2 linked regions of the Oryzias latipes genome follow. The protein of the gene in region 2 interacts with the protein of the main gene of each other region in a pairwise test. Links are inferred from orthologs where the notes say so. Each region holds a gene or a part of one and is shown on either strand. Other genes may lie near its edges.

Region 1 (7,897 bases), on a different chromosome or scaffold from region 2:
TAGTTTCAGGTTGTTTTTTATTTTATTTTAGTTTCATTTAAAAAGCAGTATACCTGAGGTATATTTTATTAAGTATACGTGATTATAGCATGTATACACTATGTACATGTAGTGTAGGAAGTATACTAACTGAATACTTCTTCAGACCATATATAAAACAATATATGTATATTATAAAAAGTAATGTAGTAAAATCAGCCTTTTTGGTGTAATTTGAGCGCAAATTATAATTTTATTTTTTAAAGTTGCTTATTTGTTTAATCCTAAATAAAAATTCAACTACTTTGTTTATGAAAAGAAAAAGAAAAACTTCGTTGACAACAAATGTAACTTACTGAGCTGAGTGTTCCACAGCGTTGGAAAAATCCTCCAAATCCCATAAGACATTGCGTTTTAAACGAAGTCGAGTAGTTTAACCCGGCGTCGGGTTATTTTGGTAGAATAAATCTTTCTTGTCGAGTTTTTCCGTGATATTGACGTTTCTGCTGGAGTCAAAGCACTGTCAGCTGAGTCTTCATCACATCATCATCCTCGGCATCGCTTTCGTTTAACCCGCCTCTGCGCGTAAAACGAAACTTAACAGCTCCATTTATAAAGTAAGCAAATTTGTAAAACGTGGCATATATCCTATAGGAAGGTCTATAACCACAAATCAGCTGTTAAGTGTTCTGCATCCTGTTAAGAGACATATAAGTTAAAAAAAATAAAAAAAGATGGGATTTACTGCACATGCGCAGATAAAATCGAACTTTATTTATAAAAAAAACTCGTTTTAAACATTGCGTATCTCTAAGCACTTAATATTGTTGCTTTAGGTATATTTCCATTTAAAACTGTTGGAACAGCAAAAAATATTGCCCCGTGACTTCACTAAAGAACGCCTTTTTTTAATTTAACATTACAAAATAAATATTTTTTTATGAAATTTTCTGATCCTCCCAGGATTTGCTTTTATAAATCAAAACATCACACTTTCACTGTCATTTTCACCTAAGGGACCCACTCTGATGAAAATGGTGCTTTTGAAGTTTTTGTTCTTGATGCATTTTTCTGATAACAGAGTATAAATAACGAAAATTAAGCTCAAAATTGTATTTCTGAGTATTTCTTTAATTAAATTGTGAATCTGCAGTTGACAACAAAATTCAGTTTGAAAAAGATCGTATAACATTGAAAATATGATGGGCAGGCTACAAGATCCCTGCCTGATGCATTCACTTGCAGACAAATATAATCCATGCAAGTCTTCGTTTTCCTTGTCCAAGCTGGTATCTGGCTCAGAGCCCATTAATGTTAGGTTGGAGGTGTCCTTACCACTTGGGTGTGAGGAGCTGTTAGCTAGTGGGAGAGCATGTAAACATATGGATGATGGGAAATGGGGGTAGGCTTGCATCCAAAAAGTCCTTCAAACAACTCAGAGGCTTGAACTACTACCACCTTTTTACTTTGGCTAAAAATGGCAAAAATAATTACGGGGGGGGGGGGGGGGGGGGGGGGGGCTTTGAAAATAGATCAAAAGATGATTGGAGTGGGTCCTTAAAAATAATGGACACAAGAAAATAATTGTTAATAGTTTATTTATGGCTACAATTTTAGAGGTATAAAGATTTTATTAAAAATATAACACCTAAAAGGTAATCAGTGCTCTGCAATATATTATAGCTATTGTTTTTTCAAAATTCTACATTTTAACATAAATACAGTCTACCTCCTGTTCACCTCCCTGGGTTTTACTTCAAGATTCTAACTAAATGATCAATGGATCTCTTTTAAATAAGCTGTTGACTAATAATCAAGCAATAGAATCTATAACTGCTCGTTTGTAAAGCACTTCTATAAAATCATTATTTTTAATTTATAAACGAAATTAAACAAATGTTAGAGACACAGAATTAAAGTAAAGACCTTCCATTAAACACAATCAAATTAGATCAATTCAACTAAATGTTTCCACAATTATTCTTTTTGACTGAGAGTCTGATAATAAGGTCCAAACATGGTTCTCCACATCTGTTTAAAGAGCTGACAAAGTTTGGAAATCCACATAAATGAGGACGGCGCAGCTGTAAAAAAAAATAAAAACAAGAAAGGCATTCATTTATTTCCAATCAACAGGGTATAAAAAAGTCAACAGTAACATACTGAGGAGGAAGAGTTTCTCAAACCTGGATCCAGTCTGCTGAAGAGCATGTAGAGGATAACAGCTATCAGGAAAAGTCTCCGGAGAGGGAATAAGCCAGAACCGGCTGTCAAGATTTTTCTGTATAAAAACCTGAGCATAGCTTCGAGTTTATGGATTATAGCATCTGCAAACCACAATTAGGAAGATCTAGTCATTATTTCTGCACAAGAAATTGAGCACAATGCACATTGATATGACTGAAATGTCAAACCTTTAACTGAGTTAGGATGCGCAGAAATCTCAGAAGCTGGATGGATCCCAGAGCGCAGAGCTGCTTCTCGACTTTGTTGTGCTTTTTCTTCCACAATATTTAGTGCTGCCTGTTTCCGCTCCGCAAAGGCGATGCCACCAACCTCACCTGCAATAAACTCCCGAGCTTCCTCAAAATGTCCGAGAGGCACAAGTATGTGTAGAAGATACAACTCTGCAACTGTCCGGAAACCAGCAGATCCGCAATTTGATGGACAGTTTAACCAAACACTGGCTGCTTCCTGCATCTCAGCAGCTTCACCCACCTTGGAGTACAGAAGTATGCTGCAGAAAAAGAACGGATGGAGAGCAATTAGTCTCTTATCAAAAATATTTTTTCTTCCATCTCTGTCTTTTATTAGCATTTAATAATTAGAATAATAATCCATTTTATTTAAAGCGCCTTTGAAGAAACCCAAAGACACTTTACAAAACAAAGGTTAAAATAGACATTAAAAGCACAATTTTGTGTGATATATGGTATCTATGCAGCTTCAATGCAACAAAAATGATGTAGCTCTAATTTAGGATGCTATAAACACTACATAGGAGATTAAATTCCTTTTTTCCTTGACCTAATGTATTTCTTATTATTTCTTACCACATCTGCATTATTTTTGCTGGTATGTCTTCCTGGCGCTCATACTGCTGCAGAACCCAGGCGAGGACTCCGTGCCAGCGATTCAGCTCAGCCAGCGCCTGAATCCCCAAGATGCAGAAACCAGTCTTCAACTCTGTACATCTGCAAAGTCAAAAAAAAAGGAAAGAAAAAAAGAAATCAGAAATACCCCGTAAGGTTCTGTTGAAAACTGTGTTTTTTGTGGTTTAAATCAAACGATGATCAGAGTGGGACTTTAAAAACATCTCATCCTGCCTGCCTAATGAAGAAAATCTGGATAAAACCTTTGTTTCCTCCAAACTGAACTACTGCAGCCTTCTCTTCATGGGGATCCTCAGCAGGAGCCTCCAAGAACTATAATACAACTAGAACTGTGCAATCACAATCATCGTGAGCAGCAGAAAATATTAAATCCCATAATCACGCCACTGGCTTCTCTTTCCCTGAAGGAGTCAAATGTCCAACAAATGACCCCAAACCTTTATCAGGAGAAAAACTTTTTTCCCCATAATCTTTAAAGCTTTAGGAACCCATTATACTTACATCTTGTGTTTTAATTAAACGTTTCCTTTGCTTTGTGACACATAAAAAAGTGCACCAAAAATAACCCTTACCATTGAGTAGGCTATTTGAATGTACTACAAGTATACTAAGTCTATATAATTAAAGGCGAGGCAGTATACTTTAAATGTACTTTTTTTTAACTATCTATATATTATAAACTTAAAATGTTCCAATTTAGTCTTCCAACACAACACTTGCATGGTCTATAGAATACTTTCTAAACTTATACTCAAGTATTCTTAAAAAATAAGCTTCAAGTGTACTACTTTAAATAAATTTCAGTTGTAACTTTTTCCATCTTAATTTTCTCGTTAAATGAGGGTCACCTGTTGTCCTCCGTGCCAGCGAGCTTTTCCAGACCTCTCTGGCACGTATCAAAAACAGCCTGGAAGTCTCTGTAGACCATCATCTGCTCTGCTGCAGAGTCGAGCATGTTTATCATCTGTAGTGCAGCAGAGGACGGCGGAGGGGAACTGCTAACGGAACCGAAGCTGCAAGGCGTCTGTCTGCTTGAGCAGCTGCTCATGACTCCCAGAAAAATGTGTGAACCCCGCAAAACCTTCAAATTATTTTTATCCTTCGACCTGACTAAAGTAAATCTACGATTAGTGAGGGAAATGGACGCTCACGCCGTTTGTTTACAATCCACAAATCTCGTTGAACTTCCGGGTTTGAAAAATTGGCCAATCGGACACTAGTTTCTTCAAAGTGGTAAAATGAGCCAATCAGATGGCAGCTTAGTGCAAGTCGTTTTTTCCAAGCCATTCCTGTAAACACGTGCTGTGTTTATGTCGCTACTATAAAAACTTCAGGTATTTTTCACAATTTGATGTCTTTTTGATTTTGCCCTTAGTGTACAGAATATAGTTCACAACTGTATTACCTTTTATGCGTAAAAAAGTTATGCGTTTTGGTAATTTAGAAGAGAAAAAACGTTGTGTTTTAGCTGTTAGCTAGTATTAGCTGCTTACCGTGTTAGCAATCCAGCAAGCTAACAAACAACTACTTTAACCGTTTAACAAAATCTTGATTTTAAACTAGTTAAAAGCATTTTGTGACAATAACTTATTTAGATGTGCCTGTTTTCTTTAACCTCATCATAATCCAGCTTCTATGTTTTATGAAGTTTCAGATGTTATATTAAATCATGCAAGGATAGGCTACAAGAAAAAATTAAAGTTCTCCACAATGTTTGTATTTACCAAGTATTTTCTTTTTCCTTTTAGAAATAGTTAGTAAACATGGCTAAAAGCCTCAGAAGCAAATGGAAGCGTAAGATGCGAGCGGAGAAGAGGAAGAAAAATGCCCCAAAGGAGCTGGCTCGACTTAAACAAGCTCTGAGTAATGACAAAAAAGGAGAGGTGGACATGGCTGACCTGGAGGAGATTGCTACTGTGGTGTCTCCTGATAAGATAAAGAAGCAGACAGATGTTGACATGGCAGAGGACGCGGCTGAAGGTGAGTGGATTGATTTCTGTTCTTTAAGTGTGGCCACAAGTTTCCATCCACTTAAAGACGACTAGTACATCCATGAACATTTTTGTTTTGCTCGTCTGAGCTGGCATGTGACTCAAAGGGAGTGTGAGGGGCTGTAAGCTAGCAGTAGAGTATGTAAACAGAGAGCTCTCAGCAATGGGGAGGGAAAAGGGGGCCAGTTATTCCACCTACAACTCGGAGGTCACTTTCTAATGAACGACTGCCACTCTGCAGAAACTATGTACTAGAAAGCAGTTTTGATGTTTTGGCTATAAACGACAATCATAAATAAAAGACCACTGGGAACGCGTTGAAAATAGATTAAAAAAATGTGGGTGTTTAAAGTTGGCATGCCTTAGTGCTTTCGTTTTTGTTGTACACAGCTCATCTCTGCATTTCTGTCCTTAGGATTGAAGATGGACACAGATAAGAAGCGCAACAAGAAAACCCTTTTGGATGAAGACGGACGGTACCCTGTGTGGATGAACCAACGCCAGATCAAGAAACTGAAAGATAAACGCATGACAAAGAAAAGTGGAAAGGGCAAGAAGAAGAAGGGAATTGCCTGGTGAAATGGAGTAACTGATTCAAAGACTTTTGATACTAAATTGCCGTGTCAGATACAAACTTTCTGCTGCTGTGACTTCTTTAGTGGACTGTCAGAACTGTTGCTCCACCATATTCCAATAGGAACCTTTTTATTTTTGAGAAATGTGTTCCTATGTAAAAACAGTATGATTTACGTTCACAGTGGTTCCTATAAGAGGATGAACAGTATTTTCTGCTTGTCTACTTCCTAAATTGTGTCAAATATTAATGCAAACAATAAATACCATAAAACAACTTGTGTAGAAAGTGCTCAGTTTTCTTTATTTGGATCATTTCAGATTTTGGAGTTACAGTGGTCCCTCGTTTATCGTCGGGGCTACCTTCTAAGAATAACCCGCAATAGGTAAAATGAAGTATAGGATTACAGATGTTTTAGGGATAAATCAGTGTTAAAAAAGAAAGGCATGATGCACAATTGTACTGGAAAAAATCTGCTTAACAGAAAGATTGTGAAAGGAGAACTGCAATATATAGATGGACAGATGTACTCATTTCTAGTTGGATACATTATGAGGATTGATTTGGTGCATTGGTACATAGTTGCCTGATTTCTTCATATCCGTACAAGGAGTCAGCGTTTGAGTGTGCAAAAAAACAAAGTTTAAATCAGCTGAACGTAAGAGGCGGGAAACAAGCCGAAGTGACCGTGACACTGTCCCTTCCACCAGCCTTCGTCGATCATCTCTATGTTAGTGATAATGTCATCTGGATTGAAGGAAATCTCATCTTCTGCCTCTGTGGAAACAGACATGTAACAACACATTTGTGAACAGATCATAGCACTTTATGTCTTGAAGTGAATCAACATACCTCCCTGATAGTCATAAATCGCAATCGCCTTTTGGCCATGAGACAAGTCTTCATATTCGTTCTCAACTTCTGTTTAAAAAAAAAAAGATTATTATGGATTATTTCAAACAATTAAAAGAAAAAATCCTACATATATATTAAACAATGATAAACTGTAACTTAACTTTAAAATTAAATTTTTTTAAATAAAACAAATACACCTGCGTTTATATACATCCGCATACAAATGTAAGCAATGCCAGTATAATTAGTTTTAATCAAAAGTAGACCTATATGTCCGTAAAGATACAATACATGACACACTGAATCCAATAAATGTGAAGTTTGTCATAAAAAGTTTATTTGTTTCAAAAGGAGTGAGAGGAAGCGAACGTATAACATTTCACCCCCATGCTCACTCTCGGCCTCCCACCCCTCACATGCAACTGGATTAACAACTTCCTCACAAACCGAACACAAACTGTGAGACTTGGCCCCCACCACTCCTCCACCCGCACACTGAACATTGGGGCCCCACAGGGCTGTGTGCTAAGCCCCCTGCTGTACTGCCTCTACACTTATGACTGCAGTCCGGCCCACAACAACAGCTGCATCATCAAGTTTGCCGACGACACCACGGTGGTCGGACTCATTCCCAGGGGGGAGGAGTCTGCCTACAGAGAGGAGGTCCTGAAGTTGACAACCTGGTCCTCAGAGAACAACCTCACCCTTAACACCAACAAAACCAGGGAGATCATAGTCGACTTCAGGAAACATGGTGCGGACCCAGCCCCCCTCCTTATTAATGGGGAGCATGTGGAGAGGGTCCACACCTTCAAGTTCCTCGGCATCACCATCTCTGCAGACCTTTCCTGGACAGCCAACACCACCGCCATCATCAAGAAGGCTCAGCAGCGTCTGCACTTCCTGAGGGTCCTCAGGAAGAACAAAATTAGCACCAACCTGCTGCTGACCTTCTACCAGTCATCCATCCAGAGCCTGCTTACATACTGCATAACTGTTTGGTTCGGCAGCTGCACGGCCGCGGATAAAAAGAGACTGCAGAGAGTCGTAGAGACAGCTCAGAAAATCATTGGGTGCCCTCTCCCCACCCTGATGGACATCTACTCCGCGCGCTGTCTCACTAGGGCTCAAAACATCATTAAGGACAGTTCACACCCCGGCTCAGACCTGTTCAACCTGATGCCCTCTGGGAGGCGCTACAGAGGAATCAGAAGCAAAACGAACAGACTAAAAAACAGCTTCTTTCCAAAGGCAATAACCATCCTCAATTCCCAAATGCACGGATGAAAAAAAAAAACTAAAAAAAAAAAAACATTCCTGTTTACTCCAACTATCTACCTCATTGCCACCTCTGCACTTTGACATGTCTACGCACAGTTTTTTCA
Region 2 (8,105 bases):
ATGCCTCTGCGCTCCGCGCTCGCCAAGCAGGCTCCTCGTCTCCCCTTCCTATCCGAAAAGCTCACACGGCGGCTGTGAGCTTTTCAATGCAAAATTCCGCACATGGATTTGTGTTTCCAGTCGTGTCCCGACAAAATAAAGGCTGATGTTATTCACACATATTTACGTGCAGCCAGCCGAGTCACTATGACTCAGAGGTAAATACACTTCTGAGCATGCGCTGTTCTCTCCGTCACGCAGCTGACCGGCATTTCCATTTACTGATGGGGGATTTTTTCACGCTGCTTTTAACGATTGCTTTTAACTTGAAAGCTTCATCATATTGTAGCGGCGATCACGTGCACGTTGGGTCTAATGGCACCAAAGGATTCTGGGATGCGGCCGGGCATGCGTGTTTCTTTTTGTTGAACCATGACTGAAGTGTCTAAGACCTGAAGTGAGGTCCATGCTGTTTGGCTGCTTAGAGGTGTGTTACAAAACAAATGACTTGTGTTTGATGTTAGATGGATAATTCAAACCATTCACCAAACCTGAAAGTACGCACATGGCGGCCGCCAAATTGGCCGCGTCACTGAATAAGCTGCAGGGCTGTAAGCGCAGGAAAAAAATAGCGGCTTTTAGTCCGGAAATTACGGTAGGTCTTTAAGAAGAAACTTTCAACTTCTCCTTTCAATGAAAGTAAACAGTACTTTTAAAAAAAACCTCCTGATTAGGAGGAAAGTCTTTAGGAGGAAAGTCTTTAGTTTCTGTAGTTGGGTAAAAATTGCTTTCAGCCTCGGTACGCACAGCCGTGAGTTTGGAAAGCCTCTCCAGGCTCACGTCTCTCCCCAGGTGAAGATGTCTGCTCAGGCTGATCAGCATGGCGTGCCGCTGCTCCTCCGTGAGACTCTCTAGCTCCACCCGGTGCACAAACGCAGCCATGACACCACCAGAAAGATCTCTAGCTCTGGACACCGTCGCCACCACAGCCACCCTGCAACACCAGCAGAGAGATGTACGTTTCTGCAAAACCTAAAATCAGCTGCATCCAACCGCCTGATAGCCGATTTCGGTGGGTCAAAGTTGTTACAGAGCTAAAACTGCAAAACCTTTGAAAGTTTACAGGAGAGTATTAGATGCATTGTTCAAATAAAACAGCAGGTTGGCGTGGTACCGACCTGGTGGGGGCGCTGTCGAGCAGCTGGCACAGCGCAGCCTGGACCCTGCCGTCCTCTTCGGCTCCTCGCGGTCGAACCAGCAGCTGCAGGTTCCTGAGCAGCAGGAGGCACGGCTGCAGGACCTCCGCCCGGTGAAACGCCGACGTCAGCTTGGCCTCAGAGGCAGCAGGAGTGTCAGCGCATAGCGTCACACAATCCACCTAACACACAACACGACAACTGAAGCTGCTGAGCACACAAACTCATAAAAACAAGTGCAAACCCCACCTTCAGCAGGTGCAGGTGGAGTCTGCAGCTCGCCGCTCTGACCACCGTCATCTTCCCGCTCCCTGCAGGGCCGTGGAGCAGGACGGTGCATCGAGGCAGAAACTCCCTAAAACCAAAATATGCCATCAAACCATTTCCCACAATGCAACACTGGAGATTACAGACAGGTGATACTGCAGGATAACTTTAAGGAGGAGTTTCTACCTGTGCTGCAGATGAGGCAGGATGATGCTGCTGAGCATGTCCACGGTTCTGTGTAGTCCCGGTGGAGATAAGCTGCTCCACAGAGAGGCAGAGTCTGCAGAGAGGCACGGTACCGGGCTGTTGGTGGACGCCCCCTAAAGAGACAAACACCTTGGAGTAAAATAAAAACAATGTGGATCAACCAAATACCCTGAATTTTCAAGCTATTCAGACACATCCTCACTCCTTTCTTTCTTTTTTTTAAACTCCAAATATGACGTCACAGATTTCCCGAAGTAAAAACCTAAAATATATGAACATTTGTCAAAGACTATTTATGAATCCACTGTGTTCTGATGATGAAAACCTGGAACATTTGTAAAATAAAATCATATTTTTTTATAATGCCCAATCATTGAATGTCCAATCATTCCGCATTGTTTTTATTTTACTTGGTAAGGTGAGAGGCTACCACGCAGGAATCCAGGGTTCGATTCCCGGAGGGGAATAAACAATGGTACTGAGTCAATTACCATATCAATTGAGCAATGAACATCACCCAGTGAGGGTCCTTAGGCAAGGCCCTTAGCGCTACTGCCTCCCGAGCGCAGTTAGGCTGCAGCTCACCGCTCCCCCAGGGGATGGGTCAAATGCGGAGAAGAATTTCCCCATTGTGGGATCAATAAAGTACCAATCATTCAAATGCAATGCATTGTGGTCTATATTCTCCTATCTAGTGAGCATTGATGAACACTGTATCTTGCAGAGACTTCTGGGAAATCTCCAGGGCACCCAATTTTTGGAATTGTAATTGAACAAAATGGCAAACACCCAATATTGTCCTCTACGCTAAATGTGTATTTTTTTTATAGAAATAGTTCCGTTTGTGTCTCAAGTTGTCATAAATTCGAGGTAGATACTGTTAACAATGATTAACTTGAACCACAAAAACGTCATTCATGGTAAAAAATGATTAAAGATGCAAGAAAAGAAAAAGAACACACCATAAAGAGGGAAGTGTGTGTTCTGTCAGCCAGGTATGCACCTCCTCCTCCCCCTCCTCCTCCTCCTCCATTTAAAAGAGGCTTCACTTTCTGCACTCTGAAGAAAAGCGCTGGGCTCCTGACAGAAATCATTTACTGTTTATTTAGAAGACAAAGAGTAAACAAATGTGAGGCAGGTTTTATTTTTCCTCCTCAGCTCACACGTGCAGAGGCCTGCTTTACCTGTGGATCCCCTCCAAGCTGTTTTCCAGCAGGTCCGGATGGTTTTCAGTGGGAACGCTCAGGATGTCTCCCTCTGCAACCACCCTGAGGAAAAAACAAAAACTCTGAACCAGGAGATCGCCATCACCGTTGGTTTCCCTAAACAGAAACGGGCTTGGCGAGCCGAGCTCACCTGGGAGTGCTGAAATGTTCGGCCAGCAGCTCGTCACAGCAGCTCAGGTTTTTGTACGACGGACAGACGACGGGCTGAATGTGAAGCTCGCCAGCAATGGGTAGAGAAGCTGAGCGGCAGGAGCTGTCCGAGCGACGAAGGTCGGGTTCTGCAGGCGACGGACTCCACCTCTGAAACAGGAACAGGACAGATTTTCACAAAACAACCTCATCTCTGATGACCCACTTCCATGACAATCATGCTTTTGGCATTTTAACTTATTCTTGTAGAATTTTTCTGATAATGGAGGACATATTTGAGGAAAATTAAGCTCAGAATGCCATTTCTGCCGCTCTCCGGAAACTACATCCTAGATAGCAACACAGATTTTTATTTTTATTTGGTATAATCATAATTAAAAGACAACTGGGAACGCTTTTGCAATCGTTTAAAAGATGATCAGAGTGGGTCTATAACAGAACTTCCAGCAAACAGAAAAGCATCAGAAGAAGAATCTGCACCTTCATCGTTAGCCTGCAGCCATTCACAGGAACCTCCTCTCCATCCGTCATGTTGAACCACAGAGTCGCAGAGATGAAGGCTGCATCCCCGTGGGGCTGCAACTCCGGGCAGAGCGAGAGATCCACCACCACCACAGACACCACCCGGTCTCTGCAGGCATCTGTTCCCCCATCCTCACCGTCCGGCCTCCCCAGCTTCACCCACTGGTGGTTGAACAGACCGAGTCGCAGCAGCAGATGCTTGCTCAGGAAAACACAGCCGTCCACATCTGCCCCCCACCACCGCCGCCGAGTGTCCACCACCCGGACATCCAGCCTGCACTCCATCGCCCGCAGGGCGTCTGACAAACCCGAGCTCAACACCTCCCTGCTGTCCAGGAGAGATCTGCCTCCTCCCAGGCTGTCTGCGTAACGAGCAAAGTCTGACACGCACAGTCCGAGGGGTCCGCAGGGGCCGGGGTCCACCGGGGGGTCCACTGGGTCCCAGAAATCTGTCAGGACCAAAGCGGTGCTGGCTGTGATCCTCCCCTGAGTGACAGGACTGCAGTCCAACACCAGCAGCTCCATCATCAGCTGCTGCTGCTGCCCCTTCATCCGGAGGAGGAAGAGGAGAAGACACTTCGAATTTAAAACAAGTATGGCTGCTGGAAGAACAAAAACTACACAAAGAAGCTGAAAATGTTTCATAAAGTCTGAATGGATTAAATTGAAAAATCATTTCGCTATATTTTTAGCTGCTAGTTGTAACTTGAAGACCAACTGGATATGAGAGTCAACTTAGAGAAGACTGGCATTTGTTGGATAAAGCTGCTCACCTGAACCGGGTCTTCTCCGAGCAGCGGGTGTTGGGGGAGCAGCAGCGGGTCTCCCTGCCGGGAAAGCAGCCACTCTCCCCGTTGGCAGAGCTCCGTCAGCCCGGCGGAGAACTGCTTGGCTCCGGCCCAGCAGAGGCTCTGCTTGCTGCGGGCGCCCAGCACCACTCGGTCCAGGCTGACAGGCTCCATGGGTCGAATGAAGCCGGTTCCTTTGAGCCGGTGGTGCCGCAGAAAGAAACGGCTGGTGAATAGCCGGAGGACCGGCTCTCCGCTGCCTGCGGGGAGGCTCGCGCCACCACAGCCCGACACCTCCTCCTCGGTAGTGGCATGAACCCGCAGCAGAATGCCCGTTCGCCCGCGGAGCTGAGGCTGCTGCGCCATGAAGAGGACCGTCGGAGGGTCGGTGGCATTTTGAAAAACTGATTCCAAGTGAGTTGGAAGGAGCAGAGCCTCTAGAGGACTCAGGTGCGAGGGGAATTCCTCCAAACAACACAACTTCACCTCCAGCGCCATACTCGCTCTTCTTCTGCACCTAATGCGCACCCTGTCTGCGCACCACGTTACTGCCACCCAACGGAAGAACCAGTGAACTGCAAACTTTTTGTAAATAAACCAGACTCACTAATATTTGTTTTATTATTGATGATTATACTTCAATTAAACAAAAATCATTTATTGAAATAGTATATACATTTTTATGTTCTTATTTTTAAACGTAACCATGAAATAAATTAAAGGGAGATTGTCTTATACGGAGCCCGTGTCCTGACATTGAGATATTAAAATATATCTTGTTCCCACAGATTAATATCTTGTTCCCACATATTAATATCTCGTTCGCACAAAATATGCCGTTCCCACAAGATACTATTGCGTTCCCTCGAAATACTATTCCGTTCCCTCAAAATGATTAACTCATGCGAACGCAATAATTAATTCGTTCAAACGCAATAATTTATCCATTCGAACGCCATAATTATTCACGTCATAAGTCATTCACACGGATATGCTCTCCGTACGGCCGCAAAAGCTGCTTTCAGCGGTAACTTCAGTGTCTCTGTGACCCACATTTGTTCAAAAAGGAACATAAAAAACAAAAATGATCACTTTAATATTGTCTCAATGAATATAAGAAAAATATCATAAGATTTATACCTAGGCTGCTTTTTCATACGATAGCTCCTGCTAGGCTACTACTAGCTCTGCCGCAGAGCTCTTTGCTTGTCATGCCGGCATTCAGGCAACTGTTGGCAATTGTATATACATTATTTGAAGTTTGAAGTTTTGAAAAAAGTTTTGGTATTGTGATTTTTTATTTATATATTTATTTATTTTTTTGTATTCATAGCAAGTGCCTTTTTAGTTTGTTTTTCTAACATTTAAGGAAATGAAAATGACCAACATTGATTTTAAGATCTAATTTAAAAAGGTGCTTCTACAAAATCAAAAACTATTTTATATAAAGAAAAAAATGACATTTAAATGTTGTTATAAGAAAATGTTGGCATTTGCATGTTTTTAATTTTGGCTGTGGTTCAACACCATCCTTTATATCCTTCACCAAAGAGTTGTTTTTGGTTTCCTGCACAAGATCATAAAAACAAATTTTCAACAAATGAGAGGGGAAAAACGGTTTAGTGCAAATTACGTTAATATTTCCACAAAGATCTTCTGTTTGCATTTAATCCATTTGATTTGAAAATCAAAATAAGTAAAATAGCGCCGAACATGGCAAGCATAGATTTATCCATCAACTTTCTTTCTAACTTCCCTCTCCACAGAAACCACCTCCAGTTCTGTTGGGCCAACTAAGAGCCATTGTACTTCCATTGTGTCCTCTTCCCCAGGGACTCCCAATGATGAGACATCAAATACCTTTCTAGATATGTAACATAAAAAGGTGCCAAAGCCACTTCAACTGTCCCAGTGCACATTGAAGGTCCAGGTTGATTGAAGCAAACAGAATAAAATCATTTGCAAACAGCAGAGATGAAATCCTGCCTTCAAACCAGACTCCCTCCTGTGACAAATTATATCCATGCTAGAGTCCAACATGCAGTGGAACAGGTTCAACTAGCAACAAAAACCAAGCTCCTGCTCAGGTTGTAGAGTGTGATCTCTCTGTAGTTGAAGGCAACCCTTCAGAGTAAAAAGAGATATTTATTTATTAACCAACTAAAGCCTTTTGGATATTTTAAAAAGCAAGTCTATGACAAAGCTTCAAAGTCCTTTTTTTGTTTTTTTTTACAAACTGAGCTGAAGTTTATTTCTGTCTTTATTTTTGGCTAATTGGTGAAGTAATCTGGCTCCAGTTAATTTTGACATCAAGTAACCCAAATGAAGTCAAAGCTTTAAGTCAAAAGATCCTGGGATTTTTTTTTTAATAAAAAAATAAATAAAATGAAATAATGACAGGGTACTTCAATATAGGACCAAGACTTTACTTCACAGCTCAATGCTCAGGGACGCCATACTAGGATAAAGCATAACTTTGCATCAGATCCAAGCAGGTATCATTTCCTTTCATGGTTAACCCTGTTTTTTATCATGCGTACAAAAGAAGAAGAGAAAGGCATCGGGCCAATACATCAAAAGAAAAAAAGAAACTACAGACTCGATTTACAGTTTGCTTGGGAAGTTCAAAAATAAAGATGTCTTTATGGGAAAGGATTCAGGTATGTACAATTCAAAGCATTAACAAAATAAGGATTAAAGCATGCCCACTGACACCATGAGGAGGAGGCAAGTGGCTGAGCAGTATATTCACTTTTCATATTATACTCTTCTCTAAATCCAAGGCTGTAAAGGATGCAGCTGGTAACGTCTTAATAATATAGTTGGGCATTCAGACGAATCAAATCTTTTGACGGCCAATCAGCAGGGAAAAACACATCAAATAATTTAATTTTGTAGTCTGTTTAATTTTTTTTTTTATTACATTACCATGCAGTGTGAACCAAGCAGAGTAACGTTGATAGAAGTGGAAAAGAGCTGTGTAAAGAGTACAGTGCTAGGTGCTTTATCTGGAAAAAGGACTTGTTGGAGGCCAAGACTTTCAGCTGGCGGAAGCAGTTAAACCAGGGATTGACCAGGGAGCAGCAGACATATCTGTAGCACCATTGCAGCAACACTCCTGCACAGTTAATCAGGATGACTGGAAGCCCATTAAGACAGTAATATTTGCAGTCCTTCGACAGAGAAAATATGTTTGTGTACAATAAATTAATTGAAAAACATTGTTGTGGCATCACAGTTTATCATGGAATCAGGTGAAAAGTCTTGAGGCGTAGCTTGTCCAGTAACTGATTATACACGTTTCAGATATGAGACTCTTTGTATTATCTAGCAGGTACCACTTTTTCCCTGGTGTTCAGTTTCCCTTTAGTTACAGCCGGTGGTTTTGGCCTGGTCCTGGTGGGCATGGACGTAGAGGATTGAGTAGTTGCTTCCTGGGAGGCGCTGCGCCGCATTGTTGATGTAGTCCTGGGTGGTAGCATGGGGACAGTTGGGGCTCGAACTGAAAGGGGCTGCCTGGTTGGGCATGCTCTTTGAGGAGAGGGGCTGTCAGTCCTGCAATGGGTTGAACTAAGGCTGCGTCGGGTTCCAACCAGAACACGTAGGGGCATTCGAGGACTGCCAGGTGGGACAGAGTCTGTTGATGGACGGGGACACGAGGATGAGGATCTGGTGGCGATGGGCTTAGATTTCGGTTGTGTGGCGAGAGTGCTCAATCCAATTTTCTGGTTTCTGTGGACAAGAAAAAAAAATTATCTGAGACAAAATTA

Evidence for each region.
Region 1: the proteins of pex6 (region 2) and pex26 come close enough for resonance energy transfer, tested with the Homo sapiens proteins (2 studies listed by BioGRID). The link is inferred for Oryzias latipes from reciprocal best matches to the Homo sapiens genes PEX6 and PEX26.

What each region holds. Positions count from the first base shown.
Region 1 is NC_019881.2:17,756,089-17,763,985, forward strand, and holds pex26 (peroxisome assembly protein 26), read right to left. Parts: upstream 4,277-7,897; 5' UTR 4,141-4,276; coding exon 3,941-4,140; intron 3,174-3,940; coding exon 3,033-3,173; intron 2,717-3,032; coding exon 2,394-2,716; intron 2,307-2,393; coding exon 2,166-2,306; intron 2,064-2,165; coding exon 1,957-2,063; 3' UTR 1,561-1,956; downstream 1-1,560. Other genes in the region: ubl carboxyl-terminal hydrolase 18, read right to left, coding at 336-387; llph (protein LLP homolog), read left to right, coding at 4,856-5,072, 5,499-5,662; hematopoietic lineage cell-specific protein, read right to left, coding at 6,301-6,434, 6,510-6,578. UniProt on the Homo sapiens protein: Peroxisomal docking factor that anchors PEX1 and PEX6 to peroxisome membranes. PEX26 is therefore required for the formation of the PEX1-PEX6 AAA ATPase complex, a complex that mediates the extraction of the PEX5 receptor from peroxisomal membrane.
Region 2 is NC_019859.2:8,881,787-8,889,891, reverse strand, and holds the start of pex6 (peroxisome biogenesis factor 6), read right to left. Parts: upstream 4,869-8,105; 5' UTR 4,834-4,868; coding exon 4,321-4,833; intron 4,094-4,320; coding exon 3,506-4,093; intron 3,176-3,505; coding exon 3,006-3,175; intron 2,918-3,005; coding exon 2,834-2,917; intron 2,730-2,833; coding exon 2,612-2,729; intron 1,763-2,611; coding exon 1,629-1,762; intron 1,531-1,628; coding exon 1,425-1,530; intron 1,358-1,424; coding exon 1,158-1,357; intron 974-1,157; coding exon 787-973; intron 1-786. Other genes in the region: ttbk1 (tau-tubulin kinase 1), read right to left, coding at 7,659-8,067. UniProt on the Homo sapiens protein: Component of the PEX1-PEX6 AAA ATPase complex, a protein dislocase complex that mediates the ATP-dependent extraction of the PEX5 receptor from peroxisomal membranes, an essential step for PEX5 recycling.